Drosophila melanogaster: one gene and its partners. The protein of the gene in region 3 purifies or fractionates together with the protein of the main gene of each other region. This does not show direct contact. Each region holds a gene or a part of one and is shown on either strand. Other genes may lie near its edges. The genes, in order: CG10581, kdn, TpnC41C and Scp1.

Region 1 (2,723 bases), on a different chromosome or scaffold from region 3:
ATGCGAACGGTGTGTCCGCAGAGCAGATGATTCGCGCCAGAGATTATATAGTGAGTTATAGTATGGGTGTAGCGATCACTTATCTTGTACTAATCTCCTCAAATCCATCCGCAGCTCTTTCGTTTCTCCCGCACGCCCTACCTGTTCCGAGCTCAGGTAATGGCCGCCACCCAGTTACCTCCTGCGGAAACACTTGACGTTTTGAAGACTGTGGCCCGGGTGAATAACACAAAACGGTGGGAGCTGCTACTGCCACCCGACAAGGAGTTCGAGCAAAAGTACCCGGAACTGGTCAGCCGACAGGAGTACCACTGGACCGCTTCCGAGCAGCACTACAATGAAATGGACTGGGCTAGGGAAACCAAACGTGTTCGGAAACGTTCGACGAGGAAGAGCGAATCCCAGTCACTGACTTCAGCCATGCCGCCGCCCGCAATGAATCACTCAACAACTGGCTCCGTGGATGCGTAGCATCGGATGATGATCTCCCAGCGGCGGAGAATCGGCAGCACGATTATACATCTAGGCACTATTAAAAAGACCAACAATTTTACTTTGTTAAAGAAGTGCTTTTGTAATCTCTTCTGTAATCTCTCCAGCCAAGGCGTTCCTATTGAATTTGGTCACCTGGTAAATCTTGGATCCTGCTGACTTTCTCAGCTGCTCCACCAAAGCCAATGTTGATTTCTCGGGTATGGTGACCAATAGGGCCCGCTTTTTCTTCAGGAGATCAGCCATGGCCGACTCAAATCGCTTGCTAAGCAGCTCCATTTTGCCCACTTCATCCACGACCAGGAGATCCGGCTCTGGTTGGGAATCCTGTGTGCCAAGTACTGGCAGAGCGAGACTGTCGAAGTCCTGCACAAACACCGAATACTCTCCCACTTTGGGTCGTCGCAGCTGGTCCCCGGGATTCTTGCGAGATAGGATTGCTCGTTTTCCGGCTAACGTGACCACGTCGAAGCCGATTCTTTGGCTGGTGCCCTCACCTCGCATTTCCTCTGTGTAGAATCCTTGAAGAATGCGTCCTCTATCCTGCAGAGCCGAGCATATTTTGTGGACCAGTGTAGTTTTACCCACTCCTGAAAATCATGATTACATACATAATAAACAAATAGCAAATATTTTCCCAGCTAAATTTGCACCTGGTGGCCCAGTTAGTATAATGGTTATATTTTTTTGGTTCTTCATGTCGGCTTATTATTACAATACCAATTTTATAGAATATTTTTGTGGTGAACTAGATCAACCAGGAATGGATCATTGGCAGTTCCAAAATAAATCTTAATTAATGCACACATATTTAGATTTAATGAGTTTTAAATTTATCAAAGAAAGAAAATGCTTATGTATAATAATGAGCATAAACTTAAGATTGTTTATGCCCTTCTTAAATAAGATGAAAACAACAATATATTTTAAAATAAAACGGTCGTCTTAAAATGCCACATTTGATGCGGTATATTTTTTGAATACGATAGCGTATTTTGAGTTGCATGCTCTATGGTCACACTGCGGTGCCCCCCAGCACGTCCACACTGTTTCCAAACGTCGAACGACGAGTGCGTCGTGTTTTTCGTCGCGCGTGAATTGAAAATCCGTAATTCCGAGAATATTCGTAATCCCCCTCCGATCCGCACCAACTGTTGCTCGCGATTCGAAGTGCTGGCTCTGAAGTATAATATACGAAGGTCATTCAATTACAATACGAGTGAAGTTTCAACTCGCAGCAAGCTGCATTTTCAGTTCTTATTGTGAGATTCAAAGTGGTTCTGCCTGTTTCGCTGTTTTATCACCCTCTCCACCACCTTCCCTCATTCGCGCGAGTGCGTGTGCGTGGCGGGGCTATAATGTTTTGGCCACAAAAGCACATCGATTAGGAGTGCAGCCGATCCCCGCTAAGGTTATAAACAAAACATGTCCGAGGCCGATCTGAAGAATCTATCCCAGAACTCGGATGGCGACCAGGAATTGCTGCTGCATCAGACCACGCAGTCCCTGCTGATGGCCAGCTCCATAATGTTTGTGGGAAACCAAGGAGGGCCGGGCGGTTCCGCTGGGGGTGTCGCCCCACCTGGACCCGTTTCCCTGCCCCTGCCCCTCTCCATCAACATGCCCCATCACCATGTGCATGCGATGCCCTACAATGTGGACGAGCTGCTCCGGGAGAACAATGCCCTGCACGCCAAGATCAAGGAGTTGAGTCTGGAACGCGATCGCCTGCTCTGTGAAGTGTCCAATCTGCGACTGGAGCTGGACATGTCGGAGCTCAAGCGACTGCCCGTCGATCTCGATGATAAGTGAGTGCCCACCAATGTTTACTATCTAGTAATATATTCAAATATCTGTTAAATAAGGGTGAATTAATGGCATATCATATTTTCCTATTGGACATCCCGCTTAAATGGAAACTTCCAATAGGAAGAGATGCACTTTAAAATTGCGGTTGCAAAATAATTTTCATGGCATTTGGGGGCCAGAAAAAATTTGCAATGTTCAGCAATTTGATTTCAACATATTTAAAAAGAATTTTGTCGATATTGTTCTAGATGTGTCAACGAGCATTTTACATATTACAAAGAACAATTTCTCACTAAATACTCTGTAAAATGCGGTTGTTTATTTTGTGATCTCATTAAGAGCCAAAATATTCCATTAAGTAATTATAATCAGTCAGGAGATAGTATTCATCTTTAAATTGATTATATTTTGAAACAATATAT
Region 2 (4,565 bases), on a different chromosome or scaffold from region 3:
TAATTCTGTTATTATTAAAGGACACTTTCAAACGTTTGTTTGTTATTAAAGTTGCCGCATTGACCTTAATTTCCTTTTTTGCCTGTGTACTTATTACCCCACGCAGGTCAAAGAGAAAGCAAATCACCCCCGAAAAAAATCAAAAGGAGGCTCGTCCTGCAAGCCCTTTTTTGTGTGTATGTGTGCACGCCGTGGGTGTACATTTGTACGTACGTGTGTGTGTGTGTGCTATTGATTTTTCTCATTACAAAATCGCAAGTACTATTCTTTTTGTCATTTTTCTCGTTCTTGGCATTATGCAATCCGCTCACATGCAAATGTGCATTGCCGGTGGGTGGTAAGTGGGCGTGCTGCTGCTCCTCCTTTTGCTTTAAGGTCATTCGGCGGACACTTCTCTTTTGCAAAAGAGAGATGGTGTGTCTTCCTTCTATCGCTTTTGGCAACAACAAAAGCACAGCATAAGCATAGTGACACGCATGAGAAACGAAACGGGAACGAATGAAAGGGGAAAATGGTATTCTCTGTTTTTTTCTCTGCTCTCTCTTGCTCGACCAACTCTCTCTGCCTTACGCTCTTTTTCTTCACTTCGCTCTGCGCCGTGGCATTTGTTTTTGTTGTTGTAAATTTACAAGAATAAGACCCAAAAAAAATCAAGCCGGACTTGTGGAAATTTACCAAAAAAAAATTTAAAGCGGGCGGCCCAAAAAGAGACAAAGTTCGTTAAACCCACAAAGAATATAGAGATTTTTATTTATAGGCATTCCGATGTTGCCAAAAAAAAAAAGAAATGGGCGAATTTCATTTGGCGATTATGTAATGTATTAGAAGACACACATACACACAGGCACACACATACGTACGTACATGCATACACGTTAGCACTTATCATTCGCCAACAACAATGAAGAGAATAAAGTTCTTAATCGCAAGCACATGTCTGGAAATTCTTTTTTTTTCAATTCCAGCGTGACGTGTGTTGAAGAAGAAGAAGAGGATGGGAAAAGAGGAGTAGGATCAGATGAGGGATGGGTTGAGGAAGAGCGAAAGGGAGGGGAGAGGACGAAGGTTTTAACAACAGAAGCGACACACTTTACGGTTAGCTAACTGGAAGGAGGTGGATAGAGATCCCAGGAAAGCATGGGAATTCGATACACTGGTCGAAAAGCAAAGGGGTAATTCGAAAAGTTAAAATGAAGAACTCACCTGTGCCTCGGACAATTTCCGTGCGGAAATGCGATAGAGCGACATGGCAATGCGATTACGTACGGCTGCGAGTAGAAGAAAAACACTTTCGCCTTGGCTAGAAAAAAACACACACACAGAAAAAAATTTGCTTTCCTTTTTCTGGAAGTGAAGTGTTCTTTTCGTGGGTCTCTCGTCTAGCAGCTGCGCGGCAACTGAATGGCGCCAATCGCATTTTCTGCGGGAAGGGGCGGCACGAGCGCAAAGAACACCCGCTAATTCCCACGCAACGGCGTTTTCCGCTCTCCCCCAGAAAGGTCACACTTAAGGTGGGCTGCCTGCTCTGGTACTTGAAAAAAAACGCCCACGCAACTTATTTAATTGAAATAGATGTTATATGCTTTGGATGCATTTTTGCTCTACTAAGATCCATATAAATTGACATTTGCTCGAGTGCAGACTAGTTTTCAATTCCAATTTTAAAAAAGTCTATTAGCTATCCCAGTCGACACCCCCCATTTCCATGCATTTTAAACCGCTCCCTGACATTGTCTGTTTGCTATAGAGTATAAATACTGTCGTGTGAGGGAAATATCTTTTTATTGCGGGAAAATCAAACACCGACTTTTGTAAAAAATAATCATATTTCAACTGAAGTTTTATAATAAAGCTTTGCCGAAAAAGGCCACAGATCAATAAAAAGTTCGATATTCACGAAGACGTTTATCATCATAACTTTGTTAAAACTTGTCGTACAGTTTACAATTTAGTAGTTTTAATTACTTAGTTTTAGTAGTTTTTTTACTTTTAGTAGCGAATTCGCAGTGCTAGGATTCCTACCACTTTTTGAAGGATTTAGGGAAATTAATTTTTGGGTCAATTTTTTTTTTGTAAGGGGTAACATCATCAAAATTTGCAAAAATTGGCCAAAAAATAGAATTCCTATTTTTTGATACAGTTCGACAGGGAATTTAAATACGAGCTCGACGAGGTATTGCATTCCGTATTCAGACAATTATTTTTAAAGTTATGGCAAAAAAAAACTGATTCTTTTATGACGGAAAATCGAAAAAAATTATTTTTGCAAAAATTACAAAATTATAGATGGGCATTTTAATCATAACTTGACTAAAAGTGATCACAAAGCGAAAAGAATAACTGTTTTGAGCAGCTAATTGCGAAGGCTAACCATCCCAATCACTTTTTGACCGATTTGGAAAAACTAATTTTTTGGTAATTTTTCGCATTTTTTGTAAGGGGTAACATCATCAAAATTTGCGAAAAATGGTCAAAAAATAGAATTTCCATTTGTGGATACAGTTTGATAGGGAATTTAAATACGAGCTCAACGAGATATGGAACTCCATATTTGGACAAATATTTTTAAAGTTGTGGCCAAAAAACTGATTCATTTTTGAACGAAATTTGGAAAAACAGATCTTGGCAAATATTAAATAAAATTTGTTTATGGTCATATGGTCTTGGTCACCTTTCTCGCTGTTATGGAAAAATCAGATGAAGGGAGATTTATATTAAAAGAAAACTCACTTGGGCATCCTGCATATCAGGCATGTTCAAGGTTTCCGGAGTCGCCGATTGTTGCTGCTCCTTGAGATTGCCAGTCACGTTATCCTTTTTGGAACGCATTCGGAATGAACTTGGAGTCCCAATGGACTTCGAGTCCCACATAGAATTTTTAGCCAAATAACGTCGTTGAAAGGCAAAATGATGGCCCAAAGAGCCATTTCCGAAACGGCGTACGAACATTACTACTTTTAGCTGTAAATATATACGATATTTCGAAGTTTCTAGTTCGCTTTTTCTCTTGTTTTTGGGAATGTGAAAGCTAGTGATGTAGGATACAAAAATTTATTTTGACAGGAAAGCGATTGCGATAAATATAGGGATGGTATCAAACAGTTCGGAATACTGTATATACTGTAATACCGTATAAACGTTTGCACGTTCTACTGTGACTTGTTGTTGTGATTGTCTTTCGATAATAATATAATATAAATCAAATAAATTGACTCAACTTTTCACGTTAGAAAATATTTTTCAACTTCGTTTGCAGTATTCGCCACTTTTTGGTATATTTTCGTCACTACTTGGTATTTTACCCTGCCCCAAGTCAGGCCACACTGCCTTGGTGTTATGCAAAAAACGTCATTTTTTTGACAATTCAACAGATTTTTTCCCTTTATTCGAGCGTAAGTCCCAGTTTACCGGCCAAACAGCCGACTGATATATACTTTGTACCACAGGAGGAGTCACCATGGCGACGGCAGTGCCGCATTGTCCCCCGAAACAGGACCTTCCACCGCCGGGCGGCTACAAGAAGATACCCTTTGCCCGCGTGCCACCGAAGAGCTACTTCACAGGTGAGCTCCTCCAAATCCCATTGATCTAACCATATATGTGCTGGTAACTATATCAATCCCTCGGCAGGCTTCACCACCATCGGCACCTATGTGGTTGTGACAGCCGTTGGCCTGGGCATCTACTACTTGACCGCCAAGAAGGTGAAGCGCGACGAGATCGAGATGCGTTCCGCCCAGAATGTCATCTTTCCCATTTTGGTCGCCGAGCGGGATCGCGAATTCCTGCGCCAGTTGCGACGCAATCGGGACGAGGAGGCCGAGCTGATGAAGAACGTGCCCGGCTGGGAGGTGGGCACCTGGTATGGTGAGCCCGTTTTCAAGACCCTGCCCGAGGATACCCTGGTCACGCCCATTTTCAAGGAGTTCTACGCCCACTCCGACTGGAAGTCGTACGCCAAGCGTGCCCACTTGAAGCTCTGGTCCTAAATCGGCCTAGTTAATGGATTAGTTAATGCCTAAGCACGCACCTTTTTGTTTGTAGATCATCCGCCTAAGCGCCAAAAAAAGAAAGTATCGACCAATTATAATGTCAGATCAGATTGGCTGAAATACCGATTCTCTTTGTGTGTGTTTAATCCAAATCCTGTGCTGGACCACCCGAGGTAGCCAGAGATTTTTACCAAACCGGGGGCGTTGCCGTCCAGCTGCAATATAGCCCACGGGCAGTGCTCAAAAATGGCCAAATTAGATGGATTTGGTGGCACCAACAGCGGGGAATCCCAGTTGGCTGTGTCACCAAATTAAAATCTAATTGAAAATCTGCTGCTTAGTAAAAATAATAAATTCACAACATAAAACACTACGAAATGCTTATGATTCAATAGGGATTATTAAAATAGCAATGAAGAAATCTTGAGCCATTGAAAAACATTCTTGATTTATTTTATTTTTATTTTTTATTGAATTCAACATCGATTTGACGCTCGTTTTGTGTGTCAGTATTTGGAGTTTCGGGTTATTACACAATAGCGGGTGATCGTGAGCTCTAACATTAAGTAGTCG
Region 3 (7,355 bases):
CGGCTACACGCAGGCGGCACCGTTGCAGGTAACACTGCTGAGAAACTCTACGAAAATGCCCGTAATACTCGGAGACGGCATAATAGTAGTTAACACTGATGGGAAAACTCTGCGGCAATGCCCGGAATACTCGCATGCGACATGATCACAGTTAATACACGGACTCGTTCATTTGTTACTCATATTCCTCCCTTAGCCATAGCTGTCCCTGTCACACTCGAAAATGAATATGATATTATATAATAAAAAAATTTGATTCTTCACAACGGGCTTGTTCCACAGTTTTTGAAATCGAAGGCCATAGGCCAGACTGTCTTATTTTAGTATTCAGAAAAAATATTGCCACCGACTTAGAGTTGGACTTATCAATCCAAGGGAATCAAACGCCTTTTCTATCGTAGAAAGAATTGATCGTCTTGTTCTGTTACGAAGATACGAATTCATATCATAAGTCCAGTTTGAACTTACAATCCGATCTAGATATCTTTCAAATATGGTGCCGTGATAACGTACTAAACTTAAATGGCTCCAAGTGTAAAGTTATGACCTTTTGCCGTATCAACCAATACACACAACTTGCACTTAAAGGGTCGCTCTTTAGACAGAATAAAACGGGTTGATGATCTTGGTGTTTTTCTGGACCTAAACTTAAATTTTAGACCATATTTCGAATATTAAATAAGGCCAGGGGTGTGCTTGGCTTTATAAAAAGGTGGCCAAAGGAATTTTATGATCCTTACACGACCAAAACCTTAGTCCGTCTGATTTTTGAGTAATGGCCACCTGTCTGGAGTCCTCAATACGTCGTTCACTCGGACCGCATTGAATCGGTCCAAAAAAACGTTTTTCTGTTAACTCGGGCAGCGCCCAAGTTATCAGTGTGTCCAAAGGGGGAAGCTGATGAGTTTGGATATAGTTATCGGTATTCCCAAAGGGGGCATACTGAGCTCTTTCGAGTTTAAAACCAGAGTGGTCTTTATTGTGTCGGAGAAGTCTCCTCTAGCTCTTGGTTACTCAAGTTTTTGTCTTATAGATAAGTGCTTTTGGTTTTAAGTGTACATAGGTTCTTAATGTAAATATAATAATTTTTTTAGATTTTGCACCACTTACGGGGAGCATTTTCGAAATGTATTCAAACATAAATTGGCCAGAAGATAAGCAAATAAAGCAATAGATCCGCTATTCAGCTAGTGAGAGCGGGACCGATTTTTGAAACTTTCTGATCAAAAATGTATATACTTTATAGGATCGGAAAATCAACCTTCTGCCTGTTACATATTTAATAACGAATCTTGTAGTCAAGGGTATAAAAAATATATTCCGTTGTTTTATGTTTCATAATATGATTTTTTCATGATTTTTTATATATAATAACTGCGAGGGTGTATAAGCTTAGGAAATGTTATATTTTTATTCTATTCATAATTTTTTTGACCAATTTCTATAAGTATGCCCAAAAAGATTGGCCACGTCCACAATAAATGTAACCGCTACCAGGTTGCAATTGTGAGTAATCTCGTGAAGAGTGTTTTCTAATTTTGTTTTTTGTGTCTCCATTTCCCTTACACTCCCACACGCTGAGTATCAGAAGGGCGAGAAACAAAATTATAGCGTTCGCTCTTGTTTTTGAATTGCAATTTTTGTTCACAAATACCATTTTATAATACGTTCCAAGATCTAATGCAATGTACGGTTTATAAAAATAAAGAATTTTGATGAATATTGTGTATCTAAAAATAAAACTCTGAGTATTTTTCTGTCTTGTGGATAAAATTATCTTTGAGTTACATGACATACGGAATATTTATGTTGTCTTTTTTATTTGGTTTTAATTGTTGTTTTTGTTTCAACAAAAATAGTTGCAGAGCTATCATCGTATTAAGTCTAAAATGTTCCTGAATGTTGAGATGCATCCACAGAAGACACATAGCCCATATGTGTTTTAATCGCGTCAATACCAAGTTTATTTCTCGTCTTCAATTGTTTATTTAGCTTTTAATTAACGGAGTGTTCAATTTTTTAATATTAGAGATTAATCCAAAGAGCTAAAAAAATGAGCGTAAGTTAATCGGCAAAAAAAATAATCCCAGTATAAGTTTCCAAGCTACTTCGAGTTAAAATTTCAAGATTAAAGGAGTCAAAATTATTTCAGATGATCTCAATACTGAACGTTTTTCAGGGTGCAATCAGTTCAAATAAAATAAGTAACGATATAACGTTTTATATAGAGAGTTAATGCTTAACGCCCACGTTCCAGCAATGTTTGCTCGATAACTTTTCAATTAAGTCAGAGAATAAACATATTGTACATTCAACTAATATTTCTTTAAACATCATTAAACAGCTCACACATGTATTTGATTTGCAAATACTACATTTTTACTTTAAGGAATCTTACGTTTTTGGTCCGTCTGTCAGTCAGTCCGTCTGTCCGCATGTACAGGTACATTTACATCTATATACACCCATTCTTGATCACTAGTCGAATCGACCAGGTCATGTCCATCTTCCTGCCTATCTAAGGTATAACAAGAGAGAATGCTATAGTCGAGTTCGCGAACGCGAATTGCATTATTTTTCTGGGATATCGACAGATATTGGGGAGTAAAATGAGAAAAAAATAAAGAAAAGTGTGGGCGTGACCGATTTGGCGGCTTTAGGGCGTTTGAGTGGCGTGGCAAAAAGTTTTTTGGCAAATCTATAGAAATTTACAAGACCTTCTAGCTTTTATAGTTCCTGAGATCTCGACGTTCATACGGACAGACGGACGTGGCCAGATCGACTCGGCTATTGTTCCTGATCAAGAATATATTTACGTTATATAGTCGAAAACTCTTTCTTCTGCCTGTTACATACTTTTCAACAAATCTAGTAAACCCTCTACGAGTAATGGGTATAAATATCGAAATCCGTGGTTAATTTGAAAGTAGCCTTAAAGATTCTTCTGAATCCGTCGTTTCTATTTTCTAGCTTTTATGGATCCCAAAATCGCGTGTATATGATCAGAATAGCTGACCAACTGACGACCAGATTGACTCGGGTAGTGGTCCTGATACTGATTATGCTTATACCTATATTCTTTTTAGGGACGAAAAAGCTTCTTTCTACAAAAATATCAAAGATGGGGTTTATTGAATTTGTTACTTTTCTAAAACAGAGATTCATATTTAGAAAGAAAAGGTAAAGAAAGTGCTCTAGTTAACAAGTTAAGTGGGTCAAGATTAGTGCAGATAAGTGGAGCTAACTTGAGAACATCTTACTAAGAAATAGAAGAAGAGAGAATGCTATAGTGGGGTTCTCCCAGTTTTCTGCGGTATTATGGCGTTAGAGTGGGCGCGGCAAAAAGATTTTTGGAAAATCGATACAAATTTAAAAGACATAAAAGTTTTTTTGCAAATCGATAGAAATTTACAAACAAAAAAATTTAAAAATATCAAAACATTTTTAAAAAGTGTGGGCAATTTTCTGCGATTTGTGGTCGTTAGAGTGATCGTGGCAGCATGAGTCAATGAACTTGCCTTCCGTATATGTCTCTAGAATCTGTAAGCTTAATTTCAGAAAGCTGAAATCGAGACGCTGAATACGGACAGACGGACATGGAAATATCAACTCGGCTTTTGATGCTGATCAAGAATATATATACTTTATATGGTCTGCCTGTCTGGAAATCTAGTTAACACTTTTATCCTACGAGTAACGGGTTGATAGAAAAATTGTTTTGCACGCCCACTCTGACGCCCACAAGCCGCCCATTTTTCTCATTATATTCTCTAATTTCTCCCTATGTCCAAAAATGTCTCGTTCACACTTCCAGCTGAGAAATAGCAATTTATCATGTTTTTGAAGCCTACGGATATCCGATCTTTTAGAGATCCCTCTGTAATTGCTTACATATATTTGTTTATGAAGAGGTATCACGGACTCCTCCCATATATATAAAGGGTAAAGTAGAGGCTTGCATAAGACTTTCGCACAGAGCCTAAGCACTCAGCGTGTTAAGACTGGCTTAACTCGCTGAAGATCGTAAAGTAGTGAGCTTTCGTTTGAAGTGGGGCAAAATTTCAATTTGGACTTCTAAGCCGCTTAAGAGTAAGGGTGTTCGTCGGGGAAGTTTAATTCCCACGATCCCTCTTTCATATTTTTCATCTTAGCTTCAAACTCCTTCACCACCGTACTTTTCGGTCGAAAATCATCAGAACACTTCAAAAAATAAAATGTCACTCACGCAAGAAAATTTAATATTTTCCTTTTTAATGTTATCGGCTTTGGAAGACAAATCTTAAAATTAAAGTAGACATGATGATTGGGGACTTCGGGTACTGTTTATTTTAATGATATATAAATCTTGGTAAGCCTATCACCTCTCCAAAATAATGAGAATTATTATTAAGTTAATTTTTTAATTAAAAAAAATGATTTGTTTTCCCACCGTTCGTCTGTCGTCAACTCTCACTACCGCATAAAAGCTGTCGATCATATAACGATAGGGCAGTGTGCCCGGCTTAGGACTTGTCTTAGCCGACTAGAGTTTTTGTTGGTGTTGGCTAAATGTTTGTACTGAATGAAATATTTCGCCCCCGGTTTATTAACTTTTCCAATAACTTTTCCACTTACCGGAATAGACTCGTTTATTGGCGATTTTCTTTCGTTGCTATTAGTGTGACCCATCATGCAATTCTTGGCTTTAACCTTGAATTTTACAATTTTATAAAATCAAGCAAGGTAGGACCTCCTTTGGAAGGGACAATTTTAGCAATTCAGCTATGTACACACCACAAGGCGGCTTTAAAAATGGCGAATATTGGAGGAGGAAAGCCGCTTTGCATTCCAATCGATTTCCAAAACTATCGTTGACCTTACGTGAAATAAAAACTAATCACTGGCATTAGATTGACATCAAACCACACATCAGGCAGTTAACAATTAAGAATTCAAACACAGTTAAAGTCATGACGCATAAATATATTAAATGAAATTGTATTTTAGTATTATGCCTATATTGTATATTTCTAAATAAACACCCTTATTTTTCTTAGGATGAATTGACTAAGGAGCAAACTGCATGTAAGCTTATAACCCATTTACTGATTTCTTAACTAAAAAGCATTTCCTTATAGTACTACGTAATGCATTTAATGCTTTTGACCCTGAAAAAAATGGATATATCAACACAGCTATGGTGGGTACGATACTTAGCATGTTGGGTCATCAACTTGATGATGCAACTCTTGCTGACATTATCGCTGAAGTCGATGAGGATGGTTCGGGCCAAATCGAATTTGAAGAATTTACCACCCTGGCAGCCCGCTTCCTTGTGGAAGAGGACGCTGAAGCTATGATGGCTGAATTGAAGGAAGCTTTCCGCCTTTACGACAAAGAAGGAAATGGATATATAACTACTGGTGTTCTTCGTGAAATCCTGCGCGAACTAGACGATAAATTGACAAATGACGACCTGGACATGATGATTGAGGAAATTGATTCCGATGGATCGGGTACTGTTGATTTTGATGGTATATAAATCATACAGCTGAATTACAAACGCTTTGCTATTTTATAACATATATTATTTTATAGAATTTATGGAAGTAATGACCGGTGGCGACGACTAAAACAATATCAAAAGAGTACATCGAAATAAGTATTTTAATTTAAACAATGCAATCAAAATTGAATGACATGAGAAAAAATTATATTATATTATTTTGTCTAAAGTAAATAAGTAAATTGATCGTATGAAAACGTAAAATATTTTATTCTTACGCATTTTTTTAAAACCCTTTTAAGTTACTTTAAGTAGTCCTGCCAAATGGAATAAATCTCTATCGGTTCCACGCAAATAGTATAGTTTAGTTTTGTATAGTTTAGTTTATAGTTTATAGTCACGTTGGCCGTGTTGTTAGAGGCCTTGGACTGCTTGCGCCACTTTAGTCGAACTGCATTTTCTTTGTTGCTATCAGTCTGACTCAACGAGCCATTTGTTTCCCCCCTTTGCTTCAGACTCTTGGCTGCTCGGAATTTAACGTTTCTGTAAGGGAGGTGGACGAGTACGGAGCGTTAAGAAATTTTTGGTACATCGCAGATTGAAGTCCAAGCGGATTAACGGATTCACTCGCCAGTCAATTTAGAAAAATTAGCTGGAAGACGGATAATTTTAAGGAATTATGCGTAAAAACGACAAGGATTGTTTTTAGTCAAAAAGCACGAAGTGATAAACAATGCCTTAAGAGAATTATAAAAAAGATATTGTCCGATTAATAAATCTGGAGAATTGAAAGGTAAAACATTAAAGCAACTAGAGCGATACAATGAAAATGATACAGGCCAATATTAAATTCCTCATTAAGCATTTATAAGAGAGGATAGTCTTATCACTAAGCTTCGGGTGGTGTTTGACGCAAAGACCAAAACAACAGATGGGAAAAGCTTTGGTATTCACATGACTAGGACATACATTTAGAGGATAGGCAGCACGTGCTTTCCCCTCCCACCACCTCTAGCTGACCAAATTGCAGCTGAAGTCATTGTTCTGCAAGTGGGTCATTATCTACTCTACCTCCACCGCCGGGAATGTCGGTGTCAGCTAGCGCAGCATCAGCACCGGAAGACAGGCTAACGACTCTGGAGCTCTGCAGCGTACCGATGATGAAAGGGCATACGGACCTTGTGTTTGGCTAAGCGTTGGGCCGCTGAGCTTACGAGCGGCTGGCGAAGCGCTGGCCACTCGTTCGATTTTCGATTTTTTTTTTTATCAAATTATAAAATTGTACTTAATTATAGAAATAAAAGAAACTAAGACCTTGAAGTATTCATTTTTCATATGGTGAAAACCGAAAGCATGCAACTCCCTGCAAGGATTCCAACTCCAAGTAGTATTTTCGACTGCTTAGATTGGCGCCCGAACAGTTCGCTCATCACGAGGATGGAGAATGAAAAAAAGGGGAAAATGCTTGCGACCGGTGCACCGCGGTGATGAGAAAAAACTATAAAATGTGAACAAAAAGTCCAAATAATAAAATACAATAGGCTGATACGCACCACGGTGACAAGATAGTTCACGGGTGTGATGTGCCAGATGTGACAACTAAATATTTAAAAAATCCAAATATGAAATAAATATAAAAATTAAATAAATATATATAAAAATAAAAAAAATATGGCAAAGCGTTAAGCTTGTTCAAGGGCATAAGATAAGATAAGATAAGATATATGAAATCAATTATGGTGCACGGTCGTGAGGGGAAACCCTATTGTGCGGAGACTTACCAGAAACGCTAAGAGGCGTTGAATGCGATCCATACCTTATTAGGCAATGCCAAAACTGACGCCTGCGGGCCATCTTACCCAGTAAACGA
Region 4 (4,906 bases), 2.1 Mb from region 3:
AATCCTAAAGAAAAGCTTCTGGCCAAGGTTGAGTGGATTAGGATTAATATTTAGAAGATCAGTCTGAATCGGGACGAGATCGTGAACAGTTTTAAATTTAAGACAAGAGATAAAAAGAATGTCTTGTAATAGTATAAGTGAAAAGGTCTATCATGAATAAAATATTAAATTATAATAAAATAAAAATTTTTTGTTCAAATAATTAAAAAGGAACACTTTTAATTTGCACAAAGATTAATATTGTAAACCATTAACAATGAATATAGATTTCAGTGATTTCATAGCTTAGCGATTGGAGATCCAAGCGAACACTCGAAAACCGTGTTGTCTGAACACTCTGAAATATTTTCCCTACGACCAAGTGAAGTTGAGGTTGCCATTTGGAGTCCACAAGAGTCCCATAGGCATTTAGAGAGATTTAAAGCTCGGCTTAACTTAGCCTAATATAATTTCGGTTAATGATCAACATAACCTAGCTGTAACCTGCCGTCAGAGTGGGCGTGGCAAAGAGTTTTGTGGCCAATCCATAGAAATTTTAAAGCCTAATAAAAATATGAAAAAATGAGTGTGCGTCTTTATCTCTAGAACCTGTATGGTTAATTTCAACCTTCTAGCTTTTATAGTTCCTGAGATCTCGACGTTCATACGGACAGATGGACATGTCCGCTACTGATCCTGATTAAGAATATATATACTTTATATAGTCGGAAACGCTACCTTCTGGCTGTTACATACTTTTCAACGAGTCTAGTATACCCTAGTATACCCAATTTCTTAGCAATATGATAAAATAAAATAATAATTACGAATTTACACCTTGAATATATCACCTAAAGTACGATATTGCAACAAAACGACTTTAATTAAATATATAAACTAGGTTATATAGCGAAACTTTCAAAAAATAGAGAAGCTCGGCGTATAGTCAGCTTTAATCAAACGGATAATAAAATAAAATAATAAAATTTTAAATTAAAACATAACTTTTCCAAAAAGAAGTCATTACATTGAGGAAAAGATATTTCACAAAAATAATAAGTAGTAGAAAATAAATATTTATAAAATGAATAAAAATATGAAAACTTTTTATTGCAAAAGTCATATCTTGAGACACGAACACGTTTATTGCAACAATGATTGCCTTATTAATTTTTCACAAGGGGCAAGTGAACGCCCTAATAACCTTTGTTCTAATATAGTCATCTTTGAAATTTATTTTGTGATATTATGTACATATATATTCAAATAATAATATAGTTAAGGCAAAGAAACTAGACACTAGGGTCTTTGGTTAAGGCCATGCAAGCCAAGAATTTTTTACATGTTGCCAATTAAACAAAGATAATACAGATGTAAAGTCTATGAACTTGTAAATTGTCAAATTTACAATGCATTACCATACAGTTGTCGGCTGTCACTGTATGCGTAGAAAAGAACTGCTGAGCCACCTCTGGAGCCATCCCGATAAAATTGTGTGCAAAAAATTGTATGGCGTTACGCATCTTGTTCTTCAAATGTCTTTGGCTTAACCTCATATAAGCTGCAATGACCACTTGACCGGTTCCATGTGACCTCATTTTAACGGATTATAAAACTACATCATAAATATGGCGCAACATTTAAATTGCCAGACTTGAGATTGTTACATAAATCTGATCCGCAGCAATTGTAAATGTTATTTTTATTGTATTTGTGCGCTTGCAAATTTGATTAATCCTATCCAAATACCCTTTCAGTAATTACAAAAACATATATGTCTACTTAGCACCCATAGTGTTAAAAAACGAAACTTTTATTTATATTCTATTTTGGGTGTTTAATTTTCAAGCAGTTCTTAATGCAGCTATATGATATAGTCGTCCCATATTAAATAAAATTAAAATAAAATGTATATATTGTTAAAATATCGGATTTCGGATAGTTCCGAAGATATGTATAAAAATGGCTTTATGTATTCAATGCAATGGAATATAAACTTAAATTTTTTGTATAAAATATACGTAAATTTTTAAGGTATTTTAATTCACTATAGGATACGTTTAATAAGCCTAAGTCCTTTTCTACTCACCATACATATACCGAACGACAAAATCGACACGGTTATCCCAGGAATAAGCCATTATGACGGAATTTGTTTGGAGCTTATCCTCATAAAATGTAAATAGCTAAAAGTAGAAATACCATTACTATCTGAACTAATAAAAGTCTATAAATAAATTAAAATTTTTTGGTATCTATAAATAGTACTTTTAGGTAAAAAGTTCTTGAATAGTAAATATGAGCTCCTTACCTTCGGAATAGCTTACTTCAGACTAACTAAATTTGCTAAACCTTTTGCCAAAAGTCGTACACTTTGGCAACATTATTTACATGGTATGTATCTAAACATTATACATACAAATGTGTATTGTATAGAAAGTGCATTTGTATATATTTGTTCTCTTTCAAAAGGTAGTTTATTTTTAATTAGGAGTTTCCATTGTACTAAATGTAATTATTGTATTAAGTAAACTATAGCACTGTTTTGAAATCACAATCAATAACAATTCAGTTTTCTACTACCAAATATTAAGCCTACCTGTTACAATGTTATTCGTGAAAGTTTCCATATAGATTATGCTCTAATTAACCATTTAAAATGGAAAAAAAGCGAACAATTCACCCCTATTTAATTTTGTATTTGAACACTAATAGTAAAATATATCAAAAATCATTTTAACATTTAAAGAATTGATAATTAATTGACATGATTATTAATAGAAAAATATTTACTATTTTTGCAAGCTTACACACATGTATATTCACAAGTATATATTTATAGTACATGCATAACCTATTATAAAGCACACATTTTATAAAACTCACAATTCTTATTTTCGGTTTTATGTACATATACATATACATATATAGGAGATACAATATTCAACATTCAAATGTACAGTTTTATGTCTTATTACCATTGTGATCGGCGGTCTATAGTTGTCTATTACTGTTAAGATATAATATTATATAAAAACAATATATATACATATAAGAAAATATATATATGTTTTTATGCCCCATACGTGTAGAGTAAAATTAGATTCGTTGATTCTACGTGTAACGGGTATAATAATATAAAACAAGAGAGAAGGCTATAGTCGAGTTCCCTGATTATCAGATACCAGTAACTAAGCTAGGGTCAATGCTAACGCGAAAGTTCATAATTTTTCTGGAAAATCGATTGATATCGATTGATTGATTGATATTAGAAAAAAAATAAAATGAAAAAAAAATAAAAAATTGTTAAAAAAGTGTGGGCGTGACCGGTTTGGTGGCTTTAGGGCGTTTGAGTGGGCGTGGCAAAAAGTTTTTTGGCAAATCAATAGAAATATACACGACCAATAAAATTATGAAAAATATCTAACAATTTTTCAAAAGTGCGGGGGTGACCGGCTTGTCGGCTTTGGGGCGTTTGAGTAGGCGTGGCAAAATTTTTTTTTGCAAATCGATACATTGATCCTGATCATGAATATATATACATTTTATTGTCGGAAGCGCTTTCTTCTGCCTGTTTCAACCAATCTAGTATACCCTTTTACTCTATGAGTAACGAGCATTAAAAGAGTTGGACTATAAACTTAAGTGAGAACATCGTCTTTATAAGCTGCGAGTCTTTAGCTGTCGGCTGTGCTGTCCTTATTGGCAGAGGATCGACGTCGGCTTCTTGGAATCACAAGCGCTGGTGGGAGCGGAAACAATTGCCAAACACATTTTGGGAAATCTGCTTGGTGGCGCTGAGCTTGCATATTTGGGGTTTGTTACTCTATTACATTCTGTTGTAGACCGATGTTGAATTCATTGTTATTAACTTTAACTTTCTAATTTATGTAGGGAATGTTATTGAACTGAGGTAGCTGATGTTAACTTTTGTTTCCATTCCCGGTATAGGTCTAAGCTGCAAGTTTATGCTTCTCTTCCTTTGACTATAGGTGTGAAGGCCCAGGATGATAATCAGAGTATTGTCGAAGAGCGTCAGTAGGGTTATGCTGTTGGCCTTTTATGTATATGCAACGGTTCAGTGTTTCAAGAGATATAACCTCAGTCTTTCTTTTTCTTCATCTGTAAATTGTACAAGAGGCGAACTAGGAGACAGGGCTGTAGGTTCCAAGTTGGCGAATCCCCCTGTTGTCGATAATCATCGAGTCGTTTGATAGCTAAACAAAGTAGGTGAAGCTCTGTGAGGATCCAGGATATGATTCCATCGTAATCGTTTAATAGGATGATTCCGTCGTCGACCTCTTCCATTCTGGATAAGTTGTCGGAGTTGCTAAAACTACACAGATCTTTCTTTCCCAGAACTAAATTTGGAGAGCAATCAACTAATTTAATTAATTAATTTCTTATATTTACAATTTTTTTCTCATCGCATATTTATATATGTATATATAGGTAAGATTTTCGAAAGCAAAGATTTCTTGAAAGTCTAAGTTGTTGTAGTTCTGTTGTTTTTAACTATTGGTTTTACAATGATATCTTAGTATTTCTATAAAGTTTGCGACTTTTACGATGTACAAATGTGTTGTCTTATTATGTAGAATAGAGACCTCGGAAAACGCCATAGCTTCTTTCATCGATAGTAATAACATGTTGTTTCCCTTAAATATTCTTTCTATTTCAATTAATTCATCTTCATTTAGTACTAGTGTGTTACGACCTCTTGTCGCGCCCACTGGATGGCAGTTTCTACTTTTAGGAGTCTAATCTGGGTTTGTAAACTAAGAGCAATTTCTAAACGAACGGAACTGCCCTTTTGTATAGAAATTGTTAGAGCTTTAGATACTGTAGTCAGTTTGTTTATTCTTTCTTGTTTGTAAACAATGACTTGTTGGTTATTGTTGTCAATGAGCTCTGCTCTATTATGACC

Evidence for each region.
Region 1: the proteins of TpnC41C (region 3) and CG10581 purify together in Drosophila melanogaster (affinity purification with mass spectrometry, with the first as the bait; one large-scale study listed by BioGRID). This does not show direct contact.
Region 2: the proteins of TpnC41C (region 3) and kdn purify together in Drosophila melanogaster (affinity purification with mass spectrometry, with the first as the bait; one large-scale study listed by BioGRID). This does not show direct contact.
Region 4: the proteins of TpnC41C (region 3) and Scp1 purify together in Drosophila melanogaster (affinity purification with mass spectrometry, with the first as the bait; one large-scale study listed by BioGRID). This does not show direct contact.

The regions. Positions count from the first base shown.
Region 1 is NT_037436.4:21,033,002-21,035,724, forward strand, and holds CG10581 (uncharacterized protein), read right to left. Parts: upstream 1,203-2,723; 5' UTR 1,192-1,202; coding exon 1,146-1,191; intron 1,083-1,145; coding exon 559-1,082; 3' UTR 553-558; downstream 1-552. Other genes in the region: Polr3E (RNA polymerase III subunit E), read left to right, coding at 1-50, 115-471; siz (schizo), read left to right, coding at 1,918-2,300.
Region 2 is NC_004354.4:6,349,120-6,353,684, reverse strand, and holds the start of kdn (knockdown), read right to left. Parts: upstream 3,057-4,565; 5' UTR 2,950-3,056; coding exon 2,731-2,949; intron 1,404-2,730; exon of another isoform or gene 1,249-1,403; coding exon of another isoform or gene 1,204-1,248; intron 1-1,203. Other genes in the region: ND-B16.6 (NADH dehydrogenase (ubiquinone) B16.6 subunit), read left to right, coding at 3,458-3,563, 3,631-3,989.
Region 3 is NT_033778.4:5,064,686-5,072,040, reverse strand, and holds TpnC41C (troponin C at 41C), read left to right. Parts: upstream 1-1,830; 5' UTR 1,831-2,053; coding exon 2,054-2,059; intron 2,060-5,036; coding exon 5,037-5,064; intron 5,065-5,117; coding exon 5,118-5,513; intron 5,514-5,577; coding exon 5,578-5,612; 3' UTR 5,613-6,804; downstream 6,805-7,355.
Region 4 is NT_033778.4:2,965,027-2,969,932, forward strand, and holds the start of Scp1 (sarcoplasmic calcium-binding protein 1), read right to left. Parts: upstream 3,027-4,906; 5' UTR 2,958-3,026; intron 2,319-2,957; exon of another isoform or gene 2,291-2,318; intron 2,166-2,290; 5' UTR 2,121-2,165; coding exon 2,069-2,120; intron 1-2,068.